2 linked regions of the Drosophila melanogaster genome follow. The protein of the gene in region 2 interacts with the protein of the main gene of each other region in a pairwise test. Each region holds a gene or a part of one and is shown on either strand. Other genes may lie near its edges.

Evidence for each region.
Region 1: the proteins of CG6891 (region 2) and Ctu1 interact in a two-hybrid assay, tested with the Drosophila melanogaster proteins (one large-scale study listed by BioGRID).

Annotation. Positions count from the first base shown.
Region 1 is NT_033778.4:9,095,584-9,102,295, reverse strand, and holds Ctu1 (cytosolic thiouridylase subunit 1), read left to right. Parts: upstream 1-3,770; 5' UTR 3,771-3,845; coding exon 3,846-3,893; intron 3,894-3,949; coding exon 3,950-4,107; intron 4,108-4,159; coding exon 4,160-4,985; 3' UTR 4,986-5,365; downstream 5,366-6,712. Other genes in the region: CG8777 (uncharacterized protein), read right to left, coding at 1-312, 371-1,159, 1,219-1,403, 1,460-1,642, 1,693-2,107, 2,167-2,244, 2,310-2,905, 3,043-3,235 and 2 more. UniProt on the Drosophila melanogaster protein: Plays a central role in 2-thiolation of mcm(5)S(2)U at tRNA wobble positions of tRNA(Lys), tRNA(Glu) and tRNA(Gln). Directly binds tRNAs and probably acts by catalyzing adenylation of tRNAs, an intermediate required for 2-thiolation.
Region 2 is NC_004354.4:18,772,314-18,782,987, forward strand, and holds CG6891 (uncharacterized protein), read left to right. Parts: upstream 1-2,914; 5' UTR 2,915-3,265; coding exon 3,266-3,316; intron 3,317-4,184; exon of another isoform or gene 4,185-4,542; intron 4,543-7,319; exon of another isoform or gene 7,320-7,532; intron 7,533-8,367; coding exon 8,368-8,691; intron 8,692-8,764; coding exon 8,765-8,881; 3' UTR 8,882-9,032; downstream 9,033-10,674. Other genes in the region: CCKLR-17D3 (Cholecystokinin-like receptor at 17D3), read right to left, coding at 899-1,472; CG18259 (uncharacterized protein), read right to left, coding at 9,463-9,544, 9,601-10,342, 10,400-10,674.

The DNA of each region.
Region 1 (6,712 bases), on a different chromosome or scaffold from region 2:
GAGTTGTAAATAGAGTAGGATTCCTGCAACTGACCGGCTAGATAATATGCCTGGGCCAGGCCAATGATCGGCTTAAATGTGGCATGTGCAACCGTGTTTAGGGCGTGTGCCGCCTGCTCCGGCTGGTCTATTTTTAAGTACAGGTATCCCAGATTCGTGTAGAGCTTGTCACGATCCGCTCCAGGTTCGCACAACTTACACGCCCGAGTGAAGGCTTCGATTGCTTGGCGATACAGGTTTTTCCGGGCGTAGAGAAATCCCTGGAACGACAGCGATGCTGGTGTCGCATCCGTCTCCTCGTTTTGCACATACCTTAAATGTATTGCAAGTCTTTAGTTGGTTTTAGATAGGGCATTACTATAATACTTACCAATTGATGGCATCCAGCGCAAGCACATCAGCGTACATGTGTTCGATGGCATGCTTTATGCGCGGCTTGTCGAAAGATCCAGGAGTCGACAGCATTTCGCACACCCAATGCGCAAATCCAAGCGCCGCCTCCGGATGGTAATCGAACTGCTGGCAGTGACGAAACAGATCAAAGGCTTCCTCGCGATCGCCAATCAACTCCGCAACCATTGCTTGTCCAATCCAAGCGTTGGCGTACACGGGACTTGATTGCTGGGCTCTCGTAAAGGCCTCGTTGGCCAATCGGACTTCATTCAGTTTAATATAGAGAACTCCGAGATTGGTCCACGCTGTGTAGCACTTTTTTTCCAGCACTACAGCCTGAATAAAACAGTGCTGTGCCAATGGCAAGTTCTCATTTTCGGAGTTCATATTGATAACTCCGAGAAGATTCCAATTTTGCCATCTGTTGCTACACTCCTTAATGGCCATTTTGCACGCCTTAGTCGCCGTCTCTAAGTGGCCGTTTGCATCCTCGGGTATGAGAATGGCACTGTAGTAGCTGGCTAACGATAGCTCGTACCACAGGTACGTATTCTGCTTCAGTTTTAAGGCGCACAAGTAGAAGCGCTGAGCTAGCTGTAGAAGATCCTTGCGTGAAAGATATGCAATGGGTTCTTCGCGCTTGGCTAGGTTTCCAGCCACATCCAAGTTGGCCAACGAATGCGGCAACTGGGCTGTCTGAACGAAAATGTTAGCTGAGAGGCGCCATAGCCAAACCATTCCTTGAGCTTCACGCTGAAGGAAGGCGCTGTAAGGAATGGATAAAACTTATCAACAGATACACGAAATCGCTGGCTGAGCTAATACCTTTGAAGGTGTTCCAGAGCCAATTGGAAATGCGCTTTGGATCTTCCGTACAAGTTCTGGCTCTTCAAACTATTCGCAATGCCAATATGCGCTTCAGCAGCACCTCGAAGTCCGGGCAGGTAAGTAGGATTACGTTGTAGCAGCGTATCGTAATCTTCAATAGATTCAGTGTACATGCGTATTGTCTATTAAATGGGGTAAAAATTATTTATGTTTTCTTGTTAATTTTGGAATGTGGCACCGTTTTCACTGAAGCTATTTGAAGCAGGGCATAATTATTCTCCGGAGATAGTTCAAGGATCTTTTGAAAGACTCGAATAGCCGAGTTGTACGAGCCGCGTCCCGCATAAGCATCACCCAATGACTCCCAGTAGCTAATGCAGCGGGAGTCATTCTTAATGGCAATGCGAAAGCATTGTATTGCCTGCAATAAAAGTGTTAAATCGGATTCATCAATGATAATCAATTGCTTACACTGTCCCACTTCTTCACATGCGAGAAATGCAGACCCAGCTTGTACTGCAATCGAATTGATTCATTGCTACCCAAATGGCTCAATGTGTTCAGCAGCAGGGTCTCGTTCAGTTCCTCCTCGCCCTGTTCTTGGTAGATAAAGCTCAAGGCATCCACAGCTTCCTCAGCGAGGGGATTAAGGCTTATGCACTTCTCGTAGCACTTGCGGGCTCGTGAGAAGTCCCCAGTGGCCAGCGGGTACAGCTTGCCCAGATAGTCAAAGCACTCGGCAAAGTGTGGGCGCAGTCGAGTGGCCTTTAACACATAATTTAGAGCGTCTGAATAGTTTTTCAGCGCCATATGCAGCTTGCCACAAAGTAGGTATGCCTCAAAAGTCTTACAGTCAGCAATTTCTTGAAGAGCTTCAGATGGAGATCTAGTATAGCAGATGGAAAAGGTGGATTGACTTCTTTAATTTTTGGATTTCCTACTTACAAAACAAATTCTGCTTTGGTCAGATCATCCAAGGGCAAATCTTTCAGCAAGTGCAGTTCGCCCAGCTTGAAGTAGCAGCTGCAAATTAAATAAACTCTTGTTATGCATTTTATTAAACCAAATACTATTGATAAAAAGCTCACCGAGCCAAAGACTTAATATTGCCCTCGGAGTTTTCAAGCGTTTGTAAAATCGTGACAGCTTCTCTTAGTTTTGAAACGCCTTTTTCGTGCGATAAGCATAGAGCATAAGCGTCGTTTTCCTGTCCAATTTCCTGCCACAGCTGAAGGGCCAACTTGTATGCGCCCAGCTCCATGTGGATACGAGCCAGCAATTCCAGCGTTACTTTGTACGCAGGTTGACTTTTCTGTGCCTGCAATGCCAACTGCCTGGATGCGACGACCTGCCCCTCAGCGAAAAGATCCAGGGCTTTAACCAACAAAGCAAGGTTAGAGTTAGGATTAAGCTCCAGAAGCTGCTCAGCGTACACCTGAATGGGATGCCTCAGCTCCTGTTGCCAACTAACTATTTCGGATTGCTCGTGGTGTTCGCAGTAGGTCTTGCATATCCACTCGAAGCCATAGACATCTTTGGGATGCGACTCGGTCATATTGCAGGCGTGCCGCACGCAAGTCTCATAATCCTGCTTCTTGTAAAGCCACTTCAGGTATCGCTTGTAAACCACGCTCCTTGCACTGGGTTCAGAGTTCTGCAGCAGAGCTTCCATAGTCGTTTTGTACTGAAAAAAGTGTAATTAGTCATTACGCACTAATTTATAATAAGAAATTGAGCTATGAAAGTGCTCATATCAATTATAATTCTTTATATTTCAAAATTATTTTTAATAAATAAATTAATAATTATACGGTAACTTACAAGCTGAGTATCTTCGGGCGCAATTTCAAAGTCGTTTGAAACCCAAATGCGTCCCAGATACTCCTGAATTTTCGTAAAATTTCCATTCTCTGTGTCCTGCACTCTCTTTTTAAGTACAGTGAAGCAGAAAGGAGCCACATTTGAGTCAGAGGCCAAGTTGAAAAGCTTTTCCCAATAGTTCAAGGATTGTTCTCTAAAAATGTAAAGTAAAGATCACTTTAGTAGTCCTTTTATGACAAAGTCTAGTATGGATAGTATGGAGTATGGATAATGACCAGGGAGTCACGAGCAGATTCTTACGGTTGCAGGTCAGCCAACTGATCATAGATTTCAGGCAGTTCGTTGCTGGGCGCGCAGTTGGCGAGTCCGAGGAGCGCGGCAGGGGCCGGACCATCCGTGCACTTGATGCACTGCCTCAGGTTTTTGGCCGCCTCCGCCTTGTCGATATTCTGGTAGGCTGCCCCAAGCAACAAGTAGCCCATAGCATTTTCAGGCTCCGATTTAAGTAGGCGCTGCAATAAAGGCATTAGGATGATGCATAACTGGTATGTTCTATGGTGACGTCACTTGGCACTTGGGTATGGCTTCCGCATGCTTGCCCAGCTTTATGGTCTCCCGAATGTCCTTGATCAAGGCTTTTGACTCTTTTACGGCGCTCATTGTAAATATTTATATTTATTTTTCATCTATTCCAAACAAACAGTGATGGGTAACTTGATTTTGTATAACGCCAGTGTTGGTCACTGCTGCATAAGGTGCAACAGCTGTTAATTAAATTGTGTGCTAATTAAGTGTCAGTAAAAATGCACATTATCTGCAAGTCGCAGTGCGGAAATCGCGCTGCTTTGAAGGTAGTTCATAAGTTAAACAGCCCCTAATAAATCCTAATAATGTTGTTTGCCCAAAGCGACCCAAAACCGGCGATGCCCTGTGCAAGGAGTGCTTCTTCGCAGCCTTCGAGGCAGAGATCCATCACACAATCTCCTCCAGCAACTTGTTCCGACGTGGCGAGAAGGTGGCCGTAGCGGCCAGTGGAGGCAAGGACTCCACGGTCCTAGCGCACGTGTATGTCGTACCATTCCCCCCATCGCACCTCTCTAATCCAAGTGTTCTACAGATTAAAACTGCTAAACGAACGCCATAACTACGGTCTGGAACTGGTGCTCCTTTCCATAGACGAAGGCATCACTGGATATCGGGATGACAGTTTGGAGACAGTGAAACAGAACCGTGACGACTACCAGATGCCACTAAAGATCCTGTCCTACGAGGAGCTCTACGGCTGGACCATGGACCGCATTGTTGCCCAGATCGGCCGTTCTAACAACTGCACATTTTGCGGCGTCTTCCGCCGACAGGCCTTGGATAGAGGGGCCAAGCTGTTGGGCGTTGATAGCATAGCCACAGGCCACAATGCAGATGACATTGCGGAGACTGTCTTGATGAACGTGCTCCGTGGGGACACGGCGCGCCTGCGACGCTGCACGAGCATCCGCACCGGCGGGGGCGAGGATACCATTCCCCGAGTGAAGCCCCTCAAGTACAGCTACGAGAAAGAAATCGTGATGTACGCCCACTACAAAAAGCTGGTCTACTTCTCAACGGAGTGCGTATTCGCCCCCAATGCGTATCGCGGCCACGCTCGAGCGTTTCTCAAGGATTTGGAGAAAGTGCGACCATCGGTTATAATGGACATCATCTACTCTGGCGAACAGCTTCGCTTCAAGGACACGGTAAAGAAGCCCGAGCGTGGCACATGCACCCGATGTGGCTTCGTTTCCTCACAGCAGCCGTGCAAGGCGTGCGTCCTTCTCGAGGGTCTAAATAGAGGATTGCCGAAGCTGGGCATAGGCAAGAAGTCGAAGGGCGAGCGAATGATTGCCAAGCAGAACCAGGAACTAGCATTGCGGGAGCGAGCAAACTTAGTAAAAAACGATTTTTAAGAACACATATGAATTTTATTTATTCGTGATTCCACAAGATACAAATTGTGTTCATCCAAGGTTGCCAACCTGAAAAGATAACAACAGGAACGATAAGTTTGGTTTCGCAGGCTAATTTCATTAATACTAGAATGCATTATGAAGCTCAGTGCCAAGTTTTTAACCAGGGCCCATAACCAGTCAAACAAGACGCTCTATCTCCAAAAGAATATTGAAGAAGATTGCCAGCGCTTGACCTTTATATGGTGTCTGTGAATGGTTTAAGTGATCATCATTGAAATCTTCATTTCCGCTAAACAGAATCTCTTTTCGTACTAACCTTTTTAGATATTGGAATTTATAAATGAACCATTGACGGATTCATTTTGCTACGCATGTTTCACATCTGTAAAAAAAAAAAAAAAATCAAAAACAATACAAATAAGTAGTTATTCAAATATAACTCAATCGTTTAAGCGATTTTAAAATGATCAGTTAATTATATTAGAAAAATTTGAATCACAACGGTTCATTAGAGATGTCAGAAATTTTAAAAGCATCATTTACATATTATTTCGTTCTAGAGTATAATTTACCTTTTCAAAGGAGAGATCCTTGTTTGGGCATATGACGCGACAATCAAAGGTGGTTTTCTTGAACACTGCAAAATGACAAAAATTAAATGGTTATAAAGAGCAGCAACCGATTTTCTAAAAAACTTATAAAACACAAAAATAATAAAATGAAGGGGTTTCAGTAAAAACTCGTATAGCTTCATAACATTTTTCAGTCGAAAGATGGTGTAAGTTTCATTCATCACAACACAATTAATTGTCCAATTTACACATAAAATTTAAACTAAATTTTTTTATTATCTTAAACCGAATTATTACCTTTTTCACTGTGTTAGTGAGCCACGTTTGATACATGATATTGACGTTGCAATGAACTGAAATTAAAATATATTTGTGTTATTCAAATGTAACAATCTTTTTAACAGGTTTTTTTAAAGCGTTTAAAATTCAGTGAAAACTAGTATAGCATCAAAATGATTTTCAGTCGAAAGATGATGATAGGGTCATTCATCACGAAATTTTAAGTAGTTTTCATAAATGAAGAGAATAATTACCATTTCACGCTGATAACCTCATTTATATTCCGAATCCAAATCGAAAGACCGATCTGCAAGTAATAGATGAGTTCTCATAAGTCACGGCCACAAGTAAAAATTATATTTAGTTGAGAGTCGAATGTGTCAGAATTAGTTATAACTGATTTGAATCACAACGGTTCATAAGAGATGTCAGAAAATAGAATTATAAATCATCAGATAACTGAGAAGGGCTAATTTGGGATTTGGAACGAATTCTTACCGTCTGTCTCTCTCCAACTCTGCCAGAAAACACGTGTTGAGCATAAGAGGCCATTTTGTTTCTGAAAATGGAATGCTGGGTTAGCCATATTCGCAAATACTAAACTTAGCTAGTTAAGAGGGTTTAAACTGTCAGCTTCACGAAAATAATATGCACCGCAAACTCGGGTTTTTTAAATTTGGGTTATGCTTGGGCAAAGCACGTTTTTCTGCGAGCAAGTAAAAAGCACTAGCTAAAGTAGTAGTTTCTTTACACCAGCGACTCATGCTCGCATGAAAATATTAATATTATTTAACAAAAATATAAATAAATACAATGATGAAACTTACCAATTCACAAATGCCAGCGCTTTAACGCAGCGCCTAGTAATCACAG
Region 2 (10,674 bases):
CAGTGACGAACTGGATGGTGGCCGGGATTACTGGGGCAACCTGCCACATGACGCAATGGGCAAGCGAATTACCGAAATCGTGAAATATGTATTTACAACGCCGTTGCTAATGCGCCGTTTCACATAAACATAAAGAACGAGCTGCCAGTTTTTCTTTCGAAAGCCCATTTAATTGTCCGTGGCCCCCCAAGTAGCGCCAACAAATGTCTTTTTAATCACGTCCAACTGTTGTCCTGCCAACGCGTTTGATTTGAAGTTATGCGATGGCCGTGCGACTCTTAAGGATGCACGCTATCCGTATCCTGTCCACAGACAATGGCGCACACTCTGTCAATAACATGGGCCCACATTATGATTCTCATTTCCATTTTCAGTTTTCTGAGAACATGCGACACGCACAGGGATATGGATACGGATGTGGGTATGGGTATGGTGGTATGGAAATAAAGGGGTAACTAGGTGGAGATGGAAACCAGGACATTGTATGCCCACCTTTTACACAACTTGTTGTTTTGCGCGCTTTATGAGCTCTTCCCCGCAAGACAGGGCCAATAAAACGATCCACATGCGACGATAATCGTAAAAAATTATTTTAATGCCCCACCAACGAACCTAAATGCGCAGGAACCCAAGAGCCCAAGAACCTAGGAACCAAGGAAACTACGAATCCCGGTCGCCCCCAACTCACACGCGCCATAAATAGGGCCCTCAACTTATGTATTTGTAATTCCAACTAATTGAAGGCTACAGAAGATGGGGGAATTGGGACAGCTAAGCTAATATTAGGCGGTTACTTATAATGTCCGAGAACGCAGCTCCCTCCAGTGGGACAGGTCGTTAAATAAGCCAGGCGTTTAGGCATTTAGTGGTTGCCGTTTACCGGGAGGACTCCACTCACCTTGCGAGAACTGAAAGAGCTTGCAGAGGAACTCGCCAAAGATGAAGTTTCGCAGCAGGGTGCCCACCAGGGTGACGGGCATGCAGAGCACGCCCAGCAGCATGTCCGATATGGCCAGGTTGAGCAGGAACACGTTGGTTATGGTACGCATCCGGCGATTCTGCACCAGCGTCGAGATGACCAGCAGGTTGCCCAGCACGGCGAACAGCAGAATCATGCTATAGCTGGGTATCAGCCAGACGGGCATGCCAGTGGAAGTACTGGAGCTGGAAGCGGGTGTGGAACTGGGACTTGGACTTGAACTGGTGCCCAGGGAGAAGGCCAGTTCGGTGACCAGGTCACTGGGCTCGGTGTCCATATAGCCATCCCTATCATCATCGCCATAGCTGCTTGTCGCATTGCCCGCCAAGGAGACAGTGCCTCCGTTTCCAGTTCCATTGTAGGGTGCCACGTTGAGCGACACTATGTGACCCGCCGCACTTGGCGCATTGGCATAGTAGTCGAGCAGTGCCCTATAGGCAGCCGCTGCAGCCATGGCCGCCTGGTCGGCATCCCCCTCCTCGTAGTTGAACATCCCGGATGACCGGGTGATTCGTGGCAATCACTGGCCACCACCGCCTGACATGTCCCGTTGCGGGTCACCGAAAAAAATAAAATAAAATTTCACTCAATTGCTATTGAAACGGCGACGCTTGCGCGCAGGCTGGCAAAGATTGCGATATGGAACTCGGGGGTATCCGAGCACACGAGCTGGCGGCTTTGGCTGCCAGGAGAGGGCTCGCCTGCTACCGTTGCGGGTAACGCGTCGTGGGCAACTGACGACTGGCGGACGAGGACGACGCCTCCGCTCCGCTGGGCTAGCTGCCGCAACATGTTGCGTGGGCGATGCCGAATGGCGCAAACTCACCACGGCAACTTGTGGCTAGCAGCATGCTGCCAGGCAGCCCTGTTGCCGGGCAACTCCCATGTTGCGCGGAGGACGTTCCCTGCCGATTGGGACAAATTAATACGGTGCACTGCATCATCCATGGCGTCTGCAGCGGCGGAGCAGCTGCTGTTCGGCCCACGCACCGCGCTAATCATCAAATCAGCCGCATTCCTACGGCACTTGAGTGCCAGAGAATACAATCTCGGCTCGTTATGTGTTTGCACAAATGTTCTGCGCTAATTCCACGGATCGCATTCCCAGCCGACAAGCTGGCAGGGATCAGTGCTGATCTAGACATAGTTTTGGATATATAGCGATTCCGATTAGCACCTATAGCATCTATTTCAAAGACTACCTTTTCGCTTGCAATTGTTGCTCGTTTTTTCGGCGCAGGAAGTGAATGGAATAGCCCTCGATGAAGGAAAATAACATGACCGGGAGCTGCAGTGGTAAGACGTGACTCCACTGGGATACTGGATATGACTATGCCAGGAATCCGTGTTGCCGAAGAAACCCAATAAATCCAATAAATTCATGTTTTGATAGAATAGATAGAATTCACTTCTCGTAAGCCTCTTCACCATCGAGGAAGAGATCTTCTTCAAGGGATTCAGCTGATCCTTAAGGACGTACATAGTTTAGATGGAGGAGTACAGTCGTTGTTTTTCTATCCATCTGACTATACATATATTTGCGCACGATGTTATGGTTTCCTGTGGCCATTGCCAGTTAAGATGGCTAACACGAAGTATTTATGCAAACTTCATTATCATTATAGGAGCATCTAGCAGACTAAATTTTCTCGCGGTGTACGCATAAAACACTAGCCAACATCTGGCTTTTTTTGGTGTTTCCGAAATGCCTGCACTGAAAATGAAAATGAAAATAAAGCCAAATGCGGCGACATCGTCGCAGTTCGCCCGCTCTCGCTTGCTCCCCACGCAGCCGTCTCTGTCGCACCTGCTGTTTGTCTAACAGCTGCCGTGGGGCCTTCTGGCCAGTGCATCTCGCTCGCACGCACGGCGACTGCGCCGCCGACTTCGGCGGTCGACGGTCGGCACTTCATTCGGAGTTGCAGACGCCGGCAACGCCGCATTCGTGAGATACAACTCGTGGTGGTCGGACGAAGTTCAGCGGCTGCTCTAATATCTGGATATCTGGAACTGTGCTGGTTCTGTCCATCGCTCTTTGTGCGCTTGGATTGTGTTTTTTTGTTGTTTTTCTGGCGCTGTGTATTTTTGTTTTCGTTGTCATTGTGCCACTCTGCCACTCTGCCACTTTGTCACCTTGCAAACGGTCAACTCTTCCCGCCAGACCAGCACTCCGTTCCCCTTCGAGACTCACCCGCGATCCCAGGAAGCTGTTCCCAAGAGCACCAGCATCCCAGCTGCGCATTGAAAACCATATCTACATCCACATCCAGAACACAGCGCACCAGCATGTCGGACGGCATCGAGGTCGAGCAATTGGTGGAGAGCAAGCCGAGAAGGGTGAGTAGTGGGGAGTGGGTTGGGCACACATGGAGTTCGAGTTGGAGTTGGAGATGGATGGAGTCGGTAGTCCTGCTCCGGGCAGGGACCATGAAATGTGTGTGTATACCGGCAGGGGACGACCGAAAATTAAGAATTATAAAAGATTGGATGGGGCAGCCAGAAGTCCAGAGAGTCAGAGAGCAGGCCGGAGAGATATCTTATAAATGCACCGAAAGAAAACGGGTACTCAGTATGCTGATCACTTTTAAGGCTGAGCCAATCCGATGGCACAACCTTAAAATGGAAGAAAGTTCTAATCACCACTACATTATAAATACCTACAATTAAAGAATGCTAAAAAAAAATAATATTCTCTTGAGAATAATGATCGATTTTCGAACTTTAAATTGTTCAAATATATATTGAAAAATATTGGGGATTAGTAGAAATATACAATAATATAAAAATTCAATTACCAACAGTGGTATTGAACTCGGACATTGGCTTTAAGGATACAAAATACAGTTTTCTTCCGGTGTACACACTGGAGTTGCTGAAGCCCAGGCCCATGCGGCGTGTGTGTATATCGCTGGGCATGCGTGAGTGTCTGTAAATAACTCTGACATTGGCTCGCCGGCGACTCCGCTCCACAAGAACCGGCCCCAGAGGGCCAGAGGTCCAGGAGGCGGGGTGGCAGCTGGGTTTTATGGCTCTGGCTGGCTGGGCGGAAAGGGGCAGGGCAGGGCAGGAACAGGGACTGAGTACCGAGGGGCAATATCATCTTGGCTGGATGCGATTGCGGGGGCGGATGCAGATTGTGGGGGCGACTCCGAATCCGAATCCGAACCCAAAAACTGAATCCGAATGCGACGCCTTCGCAGCGATGCATATCAAGTTCAAGTGCGTTTGCAGTGCGGCTGCCGCTGCTGCACTTGCTCGCTGGGATCTCGAGACACCATCGATACCCAACGAAGACGCTGCGGTTAATGCGGCGCAGTCCGTCGCCCTGGCAAACACGTATAGCTTTCCAGATTACGGTATTTAGCGGGCACTGGGAGCTGGGTAAATGGTTGCAGTGCCATTATCTTGCGGGTACTTCGTTCAGCTGATCGCAAGATCTGCGTTTCATGTGACTTTTGGTGCACAGCACTTGTTCGCCAACCTAATCTCTATGGCATCAAACAAAACGATTGTGCAGGCCAATAAATATTACAATTTCGAGGTTTCCAAGTGCAGGCAAACAAGTGAGTAATAAAAGTGTATGGAATCGATGGGGATATCGGCCATTCCACACCCTTTCAATGCTCGGGAATCGCTTCCTGACGCGCCAATTTTGGTCATCCACTCCCCGAGTCGTCGTCGTCGTCGTCACCTTCAGGCGGCATGAATCACGCACTCGGAACCTCGTTTCCCGCAACCCGCAACCCGTACCCCATACCGATACCCCGTACCCATCAGAATGACCATCCACAACCCCATCCGGCATCCCAGATCCCCCGACTCCGGGCGTCTGGGGCGTGAGCAGCCACAAAACAGTTTGCTCCTTTGTTTCCTGCACTGTTTGTGCTAGTGTGCGTGGCGAATGAAACATCGACGGCAGCGGAATAAAAATAAGAAATAAAATGAAATGAAATAAAGTAAAGTAAAGTGGGGGAAAAAGAACATTGACATATCGGCGGTCCCAGACCCGGAGCAAGTACGTCATTGCGACTGCGCTGCGGCAACTGGCAATTTGTCACAACATTGCCAATTATTTTTTTTGCTTGTTTTATTTATTTTTTTTTTTTTTTTGGACTTAGTCTGGCCAAGGCGAAGCGGTTAATAACCGATTCGCTGCAATTTATTGGTTATTTTCCAATTGCCTTGCCAATGAGTCAGTTGCATCGACCCACGAATATTCCGCATATTGTGTTTTCACTGTGCATGTATGTCATATATATATCTGCATCGCCTCTCCTTTATTTTCCTTTATTCATGCCCGATCGTATTATTTGGAATTTTTTTCGTTTCTTATCTGAAATTCATTAGTCAACATAAAACACTTTCGGTCCACTTGTACATACACAATGAAAAAGCGAATAAAATACAAAATGTTTAGTGCAATCGAAAGTGAATACTCTAACTTTTATTGTTCATACTTCAGTATTTGCTTTATGAGCTCACGATCTATATATACCATACAATTAGATATATAAACTATACAAACAGAGTTAACTTGAAATAATGTCAGTGGTGTATACCAGGCATCGAATGATAAAAGATACGGATATAATACCATTCACTCTGTAGTTCTCGATAGCTTGCTGTTTACTTAAGGACAGGATTATTTACATACAATACGTTCTCATAGATGTTTATTTTAAAGGTATCCCAAGAATTTCTACAACTGCGATACCTTTCACAAGGGTATCAGCGTTGAGTTACGCAGCAAGTCAGTTTCAAGCACCTGGCGCTGGGGATTCGGTTTCGTTTTCGTTAGCAAATTGTTATTTGCTGTATTATGCTTGGTTACGTTTAGCTGCAGTTATAGCCGCGTTTGATGCATCGCCGGCCCGCTCATTGCCAGATATCGATGGATATAGCTATAGATACTATAGCTACATATATCTAGCTGGCAATGCAGCGTGCTGTATGAATGCACACATGGGCATATATGGCTCATTACGTACGAATCCACATATATAGATAGATATAATACATATGTACATCTATCTATCGGATATGGCCGCAAGCCATTTGAGTAGCGCGAATTGTTTGGCAGATGGCTTTCCTGCTGGAAAGGTGGCTAACTCAATGGATCTGTTAGGATTATTGGTGGTTCCAAGTGAAACTGAAAATATGTATGCATATACATTTCCTGTCATCGCTACAAGGTTACTTATCAGACTGTTGCTCACTGTTTTCCATCGAGAATCACGAATCACGATTAACCGTATCAATTATGGACTGGCTACTGTCGCTCGCTTTTCTATGCGAATCTTTCGAGGATGACGCACTCTGACTTTCCTTGAAACTATTGTAGTTTCCCTTTTTTCGATATATTTCCTGAAGCCAGCGCAATATCTCGATTCCTATGACTAAGCGTCAATCTCTGCTGAATTTTTATGGCGTGTAAAATTGGAACAGGCGAGCCCTACAGATTTAACCGGCACTAATTGCCCGGGCGATCCCAAGAACTTTCGGTAATAAATCAATTACAGTTCCTTTAGTTTTGCGACAGTTTTCTTATCAGAGCAAATAGATGGCATTGCGTCAATTCCGGAGGTGGGGCTATCCGAGCCTATCCTATCCGATCTTTGGGTGCACTCCCAGCCCAACTGGAGTGATCTAATTTGTCGTGTTGTCATTGTGTCAGAAGTGGAGATATGGCCATATAGGCATATATATGTATATAGATACATATGTGCGAACGTTATCGGGCTTATCGGCTGGAAACTTAATTTCAGCTAATTTTAGCCAACAATTTGGCTCACGTACCCGTGGAGGTTGCAGGAGGAGCACCGACATTTCTATATACATTTGTATCTGCTATCTTGCTTGTTTGGGGGAAAATTTGTCGGGTATTTTCGGTGGGTCATTCGCTGCAACGGTTTCTTAGTCGTCCGCTCATTTTTGGCACAGTTTGCGTCCGCATCTTGTTCATTTTTTTTTTTTTTTTGCCTGCCTTCCGACTAATTAATTCAGAGCCACGAAACGGGAGATTCAGAGCTGTTCCATAGTTCTATGCGACGCATAGAATACACATACAAACTCCAAGTTCTTACTGCGTCGCGTTGTGAAAGTCGTCGCCCGAAACATCTTTGGGTTTAATTGTTTGGCTTTTGATATTTTCGACAGTCGTCGCTTTTCTAATTGATTTTTCTCACCAGACGCCGTACTCTCCGGTCATTGAACGCATTATAGAGCGATCTCTATCTCCATCTTCCCATCGGTATCTGTATCTGTATCTGTATTTGTACCTTTAGCTGTATCTGTATCCGTATCTCTGGCCCAGCTTCAATGTCTATTTATACGCGAGTCTAGTTCCTGACTCCAAGCCCGATCCATTTGGCTGGCAGTTGGACCAACAGTCATTTGGCTCTCTTTGTTTGTTGTCATCCCGTTCCGACGACCCCAAGTCACTTATCAAATCTCTGACCTGCTTTCCGCCGGCTGCTGATTGAAAATTGTCACGCGTAAATTGATTTTAATGCGGCGATCCGCTTAAGACAATAAGAGTGCACTACGTGAAAGGGTAGTTTTCCGATCCGTACTACAAGTATACTCGTATCAAAAACCATCGATCCAATCGCTTTACACGCTTTCCACGCATCTAAGCTGAGCCTAACTTTGTGCACATAATGCTACCCCAAAGATCACTTAATAAACCACAATTAAAATTAATCTTTAGCTAACCAAAATCGTATTGAGACTTGGTTTTTTACATTTCACTATCAAGCCATTCGAACTTATCAAGCAATTTAAATTCATTTACATATCGATATTTTTAAATCATCATATTTTTGGGCTTTGAACCAGAACCCTGAACCCTCATATGTGTGTGCTGATATCATTATCAAAAATGCTGTAATTTAATATGCGGGTATGTTCCAGTATGTTATCATAATAAAGCCTTTATTTTTTCTTCGAAATATGTACATATTTACATTGGCTACTTTTCCGCTGGCCCGCTGGTATTATGTTTATAAAGCACTAAAGCGGCAACAAATTGCTTTCCGTGAATCTGCCCGAACGTAATGCAAGTGGGCGATGCAATGGCGTGCCTATTCCCCTGGCCGACTTGAGGTTGCCTGACACGGAAACAAGTCGAATTGAATGTAATATAACCATCGAAAGCGAAAGCACCGCTTAAATCTGACTCATAGATGGCGCCGTCAAGAGTACTTGGCCCCGCATTGAGTACATACAATACATTTCGCTATCGATGGGCCAAAGCGGATGATCCATTCGCCTTGGCGAAACGATTCGGACTTGGAATACATGATTAAGATATATACTTCCGTCTGAAAGTTGCTTATAGTTCCCCTCTTCGCTTGCTTATAATCCTCTTCCCCCTTGCTCTTTCGCAGATGCCGCTGGCCACGTCGCTGGAGAAGGACTCGATTCGCGAGGCCTACGAGGATGTACGCTCCGATCTGACAGACACCGAGTGGGCGGTATTCAAGTTCGATGGCGCCCAGATTATTGTACATGCGCGCGGTCAGTGCTTTGAGGAATTCCGACAGCAGTTCGGCGACTCGGAGCGCGCCTTTGGCTACATACGCATCCAGATGGGTGACGAGATGTCCAAGCGCAAAAAGTTCATCTTCCTGACGTGGATCGGGCAGGAGGTGGGCGTCATCCAGAGGGCCAAGATGTCCACGGACAAGGCGCTGATCAAGGATGTCCTCAACGTGAGTAGCCAATAGCTAGAGATGCCAGAGCCCAGAGGCAGAAATAGATCCTCTCATCTCTAATCTCTTGCAGAATTTTGCCGTGGAACTTCAGGCGGGAGTGGAGGCCGAGCTGGACATTGAGCTCTTCCGTGAAGCACTGAACCGTGCCGGCGGCGCCAACTACGGAACGGGCATCCGGGATAACTAAGCGGCCTCCAAGTTACTTTACATATACATTTTTTTTTGCAACTCTTAACTGCTTACCAAACTGCTCCTTTCTCTTTAATTATTATGAATTAATTTTATGAAATTTAAAAACTGTACATTTTATGAAATATTATACAAGCAATTGTAACATTACTGGGTCCTCTTATTTATCGTATAATCATAATCCATAGTGTCATTCAAAAAAGGTAAAAGAAAAGTTTTCAATACCAAATTTCAAGAGCGGATGCAAAATCATTATCAATGCCATACATTTAATTGTGTATATAGTGGGACTGATGAATTACTTTGATGATAAGACAAAAATTTTAGCCACCTAATACTGAATACTGAAGTGGACAGATATGCCAGAATTTGCATTAGAAAATTCAAGTTTCTATAGTAAAGAAATGTTCTCGTTTAAACTAGTCTGGTTTTCTGAACATACGCTGGATGGATCGATTCGAATTTAATAAGCGCGAAATGAAAATGGACTACGTTGTTGAACTAAATACTACGGAGATGATGAAAATGATGAGAAAAATTATCTAGTTGCTTTAGTTCCCGGGCTCTGCCTCTCGCTTCCTAGCGGACCCTGAAGAGTACCGAGTGAAGTGCATCGATGTCCACCTCCACGCCAGACGAGTTTGTGGTCACGGTGCGAGAGCTACGGCCGAGAACGTTGAACAATACTGCTTGGTATCTTTAAAGCATATCACTCACCTGGCTTTGTGCACCGAGCGACGGGAGGAGTGCGGATTAACCAGCACACAGTGCATGGGCTGGTCATCGAACTGACGATGGTGATAGGTATCTACGGCCTTCTCGGCATGTTCCAGTGACTTGTAAATAACTTCGGCGGTGCCGGGACGCACCACACGAGCGTCGTACACTGGGCCGATGTCGCTAAAAAGCTCGCGAATATCCGCAGTAGTCACGTTAGTATGCAGATTGCTCACCAGCAGGCGGTATCCATCCTTTGTGTTCGACGTACGCAGCGACAATGGGGATGGCGAACGGCGCTTGTTCTTCGATGGAGCAGCTGCATCACCATCACTATCAGTACCGCTATCGCTATCCCTAGCACCACCGCCACCAACAGCCTTTCTCCGGTTCTCGTTGGCGTAGATGCCATGAGAAATGTGAGGATCCCTCTTACCGACAAACAGACGAGACCGCAGCGATTCTGGGAGTTTACTTGTGCTTGCTGTGTCGCGGTGGCGGCGCTCGAGAGGCTCCTTGGTGGTATTTGAGCGTCCAACTACGAGTCGGTTGGTCAGCGAAGGACGCTCAATGCGATTGCGGGCCGCCTCGTAAATGGAGAATGCATTGTTATCTATTTTGTTATTTAGTGGGGCCATGGACATCTCCACGTCGTCGCCGCGGTTCAGGTCGAGCCCACCAATTGAGTAGCGTGGCGACGCTTGCTTCATTTGCCCTAAGTGCAGTGTGCGAGATATTTCCTCTGAAAGTAGAAGAGTGCTTTTTAGGAACGGCTTGGCAGAGAAAGGCACTAACTAACCATCCTCGAGGTCCTGCATATTATCAAGATCAATATAGCGTCGTGGAGCAAAGGGTTTGCCCGGCTTATGGGATCTGGGGTCAAAGGTTCGACGCAAGCCGGACAACATGTGGTTACCCAGTTCAACGACCCCGTCGTCCGAGTCCCATTTCGCCTGAATGGTGCCGTCCGCATGGTTTGACATGCTAAGGCGGTGACCAAACTGACCGATGTGCACTCCCTTTCCGCGTGCGCGATGTGATGGCTCAAACGACTCTTCTTCGTCATCAATAAGT